Daphnia pulex: one gene and its partner. The protein of the gene in region 2 purifies or fractionates together with the protein of the main gene of each other region. This does not show direct contact. Links are inferred from orthologs where the notes say so. Each region holds a gene or a part of one and is shown on either strand. Other genes may lie near its edges.

Region 1 (4,479 bases), on a different chromosome or scaffold from region 2:
CATTAGCATAAACGAAGACATCGTTCTGTTTTAAAATACCTTTATTATTCATTTCGTTTGTTGCACCAAGAATTCATCGAGAGCAACTAATTTGTTATTTTTTCTGCATGTCCGTATCCAATCACTTTTGACAATTTTCATGTCTTGGTTTTTCGACAGCGCCTTAAAAATAATGAATAATCCAAGACCCGACTTTAGTAATCTTTTATGAACAGAATAAATAAACTGCATTTACCTTGGCGACTGAATCATCGTCAGGATCGTCGGATATAAAGTGAGAAACCTTTGATTTAATTTTCGGCACTAATTTACTGTTTGAGAAAAATACGTTATTTGTCAAAAAGGAACATAAGAAATTTAATTAATGGTAGTACCCTTGACATTCTTTTATATAGAGCGTTAGGTCCTCTTTCACTTCTTCGGACAAATCTTTGCCCAGATAAAAGTTCAAATTAGCGTAAATGTTTGAATCTTCCAAAGTCTGCTGTTGTTCTTTAATTTTCTTCTTGATCCTATTTCAAACAATTATGTGCGTTAGCCATTATAAATTCGAAAAGAGTGTGTGAGATGAGCCTACATATCGATTTCATCTTCCGTGTCGACTTCGTCAACTTCAGTCGACCCGCCGTAGTCTTCTTCTTCTTCGTCCTTGACGACACTAGTTTTAGGACTCGCCACCACAGTGGTAGGCTTACAACTGGCTGCTACAGTTGGCGATTGGGGTACTACAGTTGCTGCTTTACTGGTTTGGGGTGTAGGGGTCGGACATGTCGGCCCCTGGTCCTCTCCTTCCCAAATTTCTTCTTCGCTTTCTTCTCCTCTGTCATTTTTATCTAAACAATAACTATTTAAAAAGACAAATTATTACAATCCAAGCGATAGAAAAATAAACCACATTGGTAATGATTTTTACCGTCTCCATGGTAATCTTTTTCGTTTGTCGAAACAATCTTGAACCCAATTTTTGGTAACTATTTTGCCTTTACCCTTAACTTCAATGAACTTTGGTGTGTTGTAAAAGGCACATCTATAATCAAATGAATAAAGAATAATAAGCGCATGACTCTACGTCAAAAATTTGTTTTGTAAAATATACATCAAATGCGTACAAGACGCGTTCCATTCCGGTTTATAGGTGGCACCTAAGGCCAGCAGTTTATCTCGCAGTTGACCCCGTAAAGGATTTTGAAAACCACTAAGGACCACCACGACGCCTTCCAATAGGCGATTAAAAGGTTTGGTCGTCCGTTGCTTTTTCGCTAAGCGCTGCGTCTATAGATCGGCATTCAAAAGATGTGATAGTACGACTCATAATTTGAAAGGTTGAATTATAAATGTTTATACGTCAACTGATGGAGAAGGTGGTGGTGTTTTCCTTTTAACTGGTCCTTCAACTCTCTTCGATTCATGAAGGGGGGAATGTCTTGGTTTGCTTTCTTGCATTTTTTTACTCAACGATTTTTTAGCTGGTGGAGTGATGGGCGGCGCAACTGGTCTCGGCCGATCAGATTCCACTTGCTTGCGACTAGGTAATGGCGAATGTTGATCGACTTTGGCAGCAGTAGGTGTTTTAGATACTGTGGGACTTCGAGTCTGCAACGTTTTAAGCTTATCTGTCAATTTGATATCTGGTCTGCTGCCGTCCTTGTTAGGGGAGTGTCTCAAAATGGTCAAGGCCTCTTTCTCACTCTGTGCTAGGGCAGCAGAGGCAAGACTTTGAGATGCAGCACGGATTGCACCAGGCTCTATTTAAATAAAAAAAATCATTATCATGGTATGAAAACAAATTAGACAGCAATAATTACGAGTGCTGGGCGAGGTGCTGATCGACGACTTGAACCGAGAGAACAAACTGCCTTGTTTGATGGGGTCAACAATTGATTCTTCGGACCTAAGTTTAAACATGCCAAGATCTATGCTGTTTGCTGCTTTCACGCTAGCACTAAGGTGATTAAGATTCATTTAATAGGATACATTATTGGTATGACATGTGGCAATATTTGTGGCTTACTTATTGTTGGTTTTATTAGCTGACTCTTCTTCTGGAGCATGAACTGTAAGGAAGGAAATTCCATACTGAAGCTGTTTGTTGAACGGTTGAGTGCAAACAACCCGAACGCGATCCCATTTTTCAGCTTGGGTGGCCTTGTTCAAATCTTGGTGTTTGAAAATCCGTACACGCTGGAGATTTGTTTCGTTTCGACACTCTTGAGGTGTCATAAAAGAGGCTGAATTCAAAAGAACCTAATACATGTGTACAACTTTTACATTAAATAATACAATTATTTTAAAGTGTAATGTCTACCTTGTAGTCTTCATCGGAACAACCACTTCTACCAACTAAAATTTCAATGAATGCAGAACCATGGTTTCCTATGTCAACAGCTGAAATGAAGGATGTTTTCTCTAACTGAAATTCAACCCACGCTTTCTGCTCTCCAGCAGATTTGCACCTCCATTTCCTGTACACTCCATCTTTAATGAGGTTTTCTGTTGGCTGATTCTGTAAAAAAAAAATCTTTATCATTTTCCATAGTGCACAGAGTTGTGCAAATTGTAAGAATCGTTGTGACTATTTTATCTTCTTCTAGTGAAAGTCTTCATCGTTGAAATTAAATAGATTTCTATACTGCCAGTCACAACTATGGAATACTAAGTTCACCAAAATAGCAGTAGAAGTGTCAAGAGTAATTTGTGAAAATCACCCTGGTTCGATAAACCAAACGTCAAAACAACTATCACTTGCGACTTTATACAATGAAAATCACAATTTTGTTAACATACCGGATCTTCGCTACTGAAACTCACAACACGAGTAAATTTTATGGGCGCCATAGACAAAACAACGACGCTGAACAAATGTTAAGAAAATCAAAACTGGAATACAAATTTCAACGACTTTTTAACTTGGCACGTGTATCGTCGGAAGTTGATTTGTCCAATGTTTGCAGCTGCACTATACGTTTTATTCTCTGGCGGCTTTGGGGCTAGAAGACGGCCTGAATAATTTGGAAGATTTCTTATTCTGAGTCGTCGCACCCTGAGCGATTCAGATTTTATTAGAATAATAATTTATTCCCCCATTTTAAAAGTTGTGATCATTCAATTTTCCCTACATTTTATTTTTATTATATATGGAAAGTCGGCTGCTCCTGGGTCCTGTTTAAAAAACCCGCCAACAGAGCGCGTTGGCTTGCAAACGGACATTGTAAAATGCATTCAGCGCGCGTATTCAATATGCATTGAACACAACACCAGATTCAGAATCCAAACAAAAATCGCTGGGTTTTTTTTCTACGCTGGTCTTTTTTAAAAAGGTTAACAGCGTCCTATAGTGGATAATGGCCTATTTTAGGTTATCCTTTTATTTATTATTACTGATGCCTGATGACAAGTCGAAAATAAACCGACAATAACTCATCGACATCAGCAGAGATCAATCTTTTACGACAACAGAAATGAATAAAAATAAGTCTGCAAATAAAATCTACACATTAAACGTTTAAGTCAATTTCAATTCCAACTGGAAATATATACGTTCTGGCGGTTCAATGTTTAAACTACCAAATTGATTAATGTCCACTAAATTTATTATTTTCTTTTCTCTTAACCATTCATGATGCTGGAGAGAAGGGGGAGGGATGTCATCGATTTTAGCTCATTTAATTTCTATTACGGCTTAGCTGGCGCATTAATTTATCAACGTGGTACTCCGACAACGAAGTTTATATTACAAGGACAACGTCAACAGCCAGAGTGCAAAGCATTTTGTGCAAGTGATATTTTTAATTTGTTTTTTTTTCTAATTCGACCGTTTCTCGCTCCTTGGATACCGAAAGAAAAGCCGAGGAGAAGAAAACCATATTACGTCTCGCCTTTATTAATAGGTGATTCCCCAGAAAAAACAAAAAAAATAAAACAGCCACAGCATCGCCCAGTATCAACTGGAACATTTTCCGGCGTTAGTAGTATTGACACCTCCACGCTCTTTTCCTCCCTTCTTTATATTGTATTTACAAGGCCCACGCAGCAGCAAGCAACCCAGCTCTTTCCAAGGATGAACATGGCTACATTATATATATAGTATAGGCTTTTAATTTCTCCTATATATGTCTTATTTCGCTATACAGCCAAAGAATCGAGGTTGCGCACAGAGAATATTAAGGAATGTATTTTTTAGATTTCCCTTCCGAAAAAACTTTTCTTTTAACTCTCCTCGATCCTGCTGACTACATGTATAAATACACAGGCTATATTATATAAACTGCACTCACTGCAGGCATATACACACACATTTCATGTACAATATATATGTATTAGGCTTCCGGCAGCTTTGTATACCTATGTACGAGCCACTTCAATTTCTTATAGTCTCTTTCTATTTCATTCTCCATTCTATTTTGTTTCCTCTTGTATTATTCCTAAGATTCCCCCCCCCCAAAATACAACAAAGACACAATCAGCAGCACCTACCGTCTA
Region 2 (4,386 bases):
TAAATGTTTCAAAAGCTGAGAAAGAAATCCTTCTTTTTTTTTCAGGTACTCCAGCATCTGAAAAACAAAAACTTGTTAATAAATGAAACTGATGGCATTTCAATACTAATGTACCTTATCTGCTTTCCTTCCAACCAGAACTGCCATTGTTTTACTAAAAAATGATGCCATGAGAGGATTGAGTGGAGGTTCATTACCAATGAATTGGCACAACTCTGTCAAGAGAACCTCATCCATTACAATAGCATCATTGATGACAGAAATGTCACAGGAAAGCAGTTCAGCAGCTATGTTATTATATTTGAAACGCACAACATCAGCAGCCTGAGTTGATGGTTCCTTTGTCACCAAACTGATGAGTTCATGCAACACTTCAGGCTTCACCAAACTACAAATAAATAAAAAGTGCATAAGATTAAACCACACTTTTATACTTGTCATACTATACTTACAAATTAATGAGCTTCCTGTTACTACTTTTACATTCTTGAATTATATCATCTTCATCCATTAATCTCTGTAATGTGATATCCTAAGAGATTTGATTTCCATTAAAATTGAATTTAAGAAAGTTTAAAATAATATCACCACTTACTTCATCATTTAGAAGATTGTCGATGTTGGTGGTACACATATTATTAAAACGCCAAAACATTTTTGAAGTTTTAGATAAAACCGCTGTTTGAAAATCTAGGCAACACCTAAAAACAATATGACATCAGTATTTTATAATAGATTTTACAACATATTTTTCTATGAAGTGGAGTAAATGGATTTTAAAGGAGCACTTTGTTGTAGTACCAGTGTCTTAATTTATCTGATGAATCAGCTATCAGACCTTACAGCTCTAGCAGAAATCCTGAGATGTTAACTCAAATGGGAAATAAAGTTTGATGGCTAGTGGCTACTAGACAGAAAATCAGCGCTGCAAAAAATCATAAGAGAAGAAGATGCCTCACGCAACCATTAAAGAACATGACATTCGTTGACACAAATTATCCACTTTGAAATCTTTATTCTTTCGAGACTTAAGAACACACACTTAAGAACTACACCAACAAATGATGGCCTTCTTCTCCGCCCTAGTTCTAGGTTATTGAAGGCCCTCGTACTTCGATTAGAATTAATCTTGAGAAATCAAAAAAGTAAAAAAAAATGTAAGACTGTAATTCCTGAGAGAATAGCTTAATGGTAAAAACATTTAAGTAATGATAATAAAATTTTTATTAACTCAGCTTCCCTAATTGTAATTATTATATTTTTTTTTTGGGGGGGGGGAGGTTTGGCCGTCTAGCGGCCAAGTAAATTAGGCGGCCTTTGAGTTTGTACAAAGCGATCCAGAAACTGTTTTGAACGTTTGTTTATGAGAATCAGTCAGAAATCAGAATTATTTGGTTTTTAAGAGATATAGATCGCACTTTTAAAGTTCTTAATCAATTGAATATACAACAAAATTACTAGCCTTTCATCATTTTTTGCGAAGGAGCAACTATCGTAATGGATATGAAAGATTGTAAATACGGGTCAACGTGTTTTCGGCGAAATAAACATCATTTCCTTGAGTTTTCTCACCCAATTAGTAAGCAAATATTTTTTAACAATAGTTTTATACGAAATAATGTAATAATATAATTCAAATTGGAAGTTGAAAAAATAGCATTACAAATAAACAATGGAGAAATCGAAGCTGTAATGTCTCAAGAATTAAAATCAAACCTTCTGGAGCAAGCACAACTTGTTGCTGAGCTCATGGAAAGTGGGGAATTAATTCTTGATGACAGAAGGAAGATGGAAATCTCTGGTGAAAAAACTGGAGTGAAGCGTAATGCCTCTGCAATGGCACAAAGTGACAATGAGGCAGAGATAGAAGAAAATAGCAGCGAACAGAAAGAAAAAAGAATCAGTTTAGTTCAATTCTGCAATAATCATAAAATTAAATGAATCATGAAATTTTCTCTGTTCCAGAAGCAACAGCTATTGATGAAAATATTCCTTCCCATGCTAAGATGACAGATGATGTTGGTTCCTCAACCAAAATGGTTGTCAATGAAAAACTTAACCCTTTACAAAAGATTGAAGCTTCTGCTCCTGTTTGCTATTTCCTTAGCTCTATAGAAAATGTACCTGAAACTTGGGACCAGTCTCTTACCTTAACATTTAGTGATTTGCTCCATCCTTCACTTGGTGTGTTGCAAGAATCAGTACAATTTAACTTCATGGTGGAGCTTGGTTGGCTACTTGCTCAGTATTGTCAGCATAAAGTCCAGTAATTACATATATACTTATTACTGCATATTTTTCATGAGTTTCGATAATTTTGTTTGTATTAAACAGAAGGAAGCCAATGCTTGTGATTTACGGAACTGAATCCGAAGAGCTAGCTGCCGCTCAAAGTCGAGTGCCAACGCTTCACACGATCAGAGTCAAACCTAAATATCCATTTGGTAGCCACCACACGTAAGCATTAAATTTTTTAGTTGTTAGACTTTTTCATATTTACATTGTGTTTTCATTATCATTTCTGGAACTACCTGAAGGAAAATGTCCATGATGTCCTACGAAGACGGAAATTTGCGAATCGTTGTTCATACGGGTAACCTTATTGAATCTGATTGGGAAGACCGTACACAAGGTGCGTACCACTACAATCCCTATTGGCAAACTATCGTTTTTTTTTTAACAATAAATTTGTGCAGGCCTTTGGATTAGTCCGTCTTGTCCACCTTTGTCATCAAAAGACAACGAGAAGATCGGAGATGGTGATTCTATAACTGGTTTCAAAAGGGATCTTGTTCGTTATTTAGAATCCTATTCACTTTCCGCTTTGAAGCCTTGGATAGAAAAAATTCGCCAGGCTGACATGTCTAGTATTAAGTAAATTATTGAGTTATAAGGTACCTTGTTTTCAAACTTTTCAGCCAGACGCAAAATGTTTTGTGCACAGAGTTTGTTTTATCCCATCTTCGCCGGGATCTCATGCCATTCAATCAGAAGCCAATGAAAAAGTGCCGAAATGGGGACATCTTTACTTGTCTTGGCTATTGCAACAGCATGCTTCGTCTGAGGCAAATGATTCCATTATCATGCAATGTTCTTCGATTGGTTCGCTCGGTCCATCACCCAGCAGCTGGCTTGCAGGCGAGTTAGGTGTATCCATGGCTGCTGCTTCCGGTGTCACCAAACTCGGCCAGAAAAATGTCCAAGTGGTACGTATCCTCAGTTGCAAATGTCAGTTGATTAGTTTTTGTTTCATAACATTTTCTCAAACAGGTTTACCCGTGCTTCCAAGATGTCAAATCCAGTATTCATGGGTTACTTGGTGGAGGCTGTTTACCATACTCACATCAAGGCCACAACAAACAAACATGGTTCACAGGATTTCTCCAGTAAGAGATTATACCAGTTGCATTTATCTGTTAACAAGAGATTGACAGTTTTCTTTTCACCTACTTGAAATTGTGTTCCTCGTGAAGTAAATGGCGTAGTGACAGCAGACTCCGAACAACGGTAAGCTCAATCTTTGGTTAAATGCTGCAAACAATATTAAAAGATTATGTAACCATCCTCCTTACAGGCAATGCCTCACATTAAATCTTATGCTCGTGTCAGCAGTGATATGAGCAGAGCTTCTTTTTTCGTACTTACCAGTGCGAACGTTTCAAAGGTACTATTCATTTATTTCAAATTTTCAGCTTGAGTAAGCTTGTTCATAAATTCCATTTTCGTAGGCCGCTTGGGGGATGAGGACCAACAAGGATTCGAAATTGATGATTCAATCGTTTGAAGCTGGCGTCCTGTTCTTACCCAAATTCCTTGTAAGTTGTAACATTAGTTTTTCAGGCTTCTCTGGATTTCTAGTAATTGAAATATCATTTTGTTTTCGTTTAGTTTGGTGAAATGACTTTCGAACTCGGGAAACAACTCTGTCTTCCATACGATTTACCGTTGACGAAATATGGTGAGGGTGACGAACCTTGGTTCATTGATAACCTGCGCTAAAATTCGTCGTTTACTACAATAAACTTTTTTTTTACTGTGATAAAAATACAATGATCGAAAATTTTAAAATTGCAACAAGTTGTTATAAAAAATAAACTTTGATTGAAACATGGAAAGATGGGATGTGTATTCATTGCTTGTTTTTTTTATCGTTTTTTCAAAATGATGTTTTGGGACGTGGAAGTACGAAACAGAACGCCACATGAAAATGTTGGAGAAAATGTTAGATATTATAACCAGCTTCCTTGGTGAACATATTCGAGAGGAGATAGGGATTCCGATGTAAAAAGAACTCAGTTTAAGAGATGATCTTGTTTCACGCCTTTCAATCCAATCGATAATGAATGTACCAAAACAAACAGGTGTGAGAAGGGGAAAAGAGAAACC

What was found.
Region 1: the proteins of probable tyrosyl-DNA phosphodiesterase (region 2) and DNA repair protein XRCC1-like purify together in Homo sapiens (affinity purification with mass spectrometry; 4 studies listed by BioGRID and IntAct, with this or other methods). This does not show direct contact. The link is inferred for Daphnia pulex from reciprocal best matches to the Homo sapiens genes TDP1 and XRCC1.

Annotation. Positions count from the first base shown.
Region 1 is NC_060028.1:2,114,856-2,119,334, reverse strand, and holds DNA repair protein XRCC1-like, read right to left. Parts: upstream 2,956-4,479; 5' UTR 2,836-2,955; coding exon 2,785-2,835; intron 2,504-2,784; coding exon 2,306-2,503; intron 2,245-2,305; coding exon 2,012-2,244; intron 1,943-2,011; coding exon 1,806-1,942; intron 1,746-1,805; coding exon 1,345-1,745; intron 1,273-1,344; coding exon 1,097-1,272; intron 1,028-1,096; coding exon 914-1,027; intron 845-913; coding exon 578-844; intron 513-577; coding exon 375-512; intron 312-374; coding exon 236-311; exon of another isoform or gene 163-235; coding exon 49-162; 3' UTR 24-48; downstream 1-23. UniProt on the Homo sapiens protein: Scaffold protein involved in DNA single-strand break repair by mediating the assembly of DNA break repair protein complexes. Negatively regulates ADP-ribosyltransferase activity of PARP1 during base-excision repair in order to prevent excessive PARP1 activity.
Region 2 is NC_060019.1:12,903,874-12,908,259, reverse strand, and holds probable tyrosyl-DNA phosphodiesterase, read left to right. Parts: upstream 1-1,329; 5' UTR 1,330-1,497; coding exon 1,498-1,579; intron 1,580-1,645; coding exon 1,646-1,903; intron 1,904-1,965; coding exon 1,966-2,266; intron 2,267-2,305; exon of another isoform or gene 2,306-2,334; coding exon 2,335-2,457; intron 2,458-2,531; exon of another isoform or gene 2,532-2,537; coding exon 2,538-2,632; exon of another isoform or gene 2,633-2,696; coding exon 2,697-2,874; intron 2,875-2,898; exon of another isoform or gene 2,899-2,944; coding exon 2,945-3,206; exon of another isoform or gene 3,207-3,270; coding exon 3,271-3,386; intron 3,387-3,450; exon of another isoform or gene 3,451-3,473; coding exon 3,474-3,507; exon of another isoform or gene 3,508-3,574; coding exon 3,575-3,664; intron 3,665-3,728; coding exon 3,729-3,815; intron 3,816-3,888; coding exon 3,889-3,999; 3' UTR 4,000-4,068; downstream 4,069-4,386. Other genes in the region: serine/threonine-protein phosphatase 6 regulatory subunit 3-like, read right to left, coding at 1-57, 115-388, 453-532, 596-655. UniProt on the Homo sapiens protein: DNA repair enzyme that can remove a variety of covalent adducts from DNA through hydrolysis of a 3'-phosphodiester bond, giving rise to DNA with a free 3' phosphate.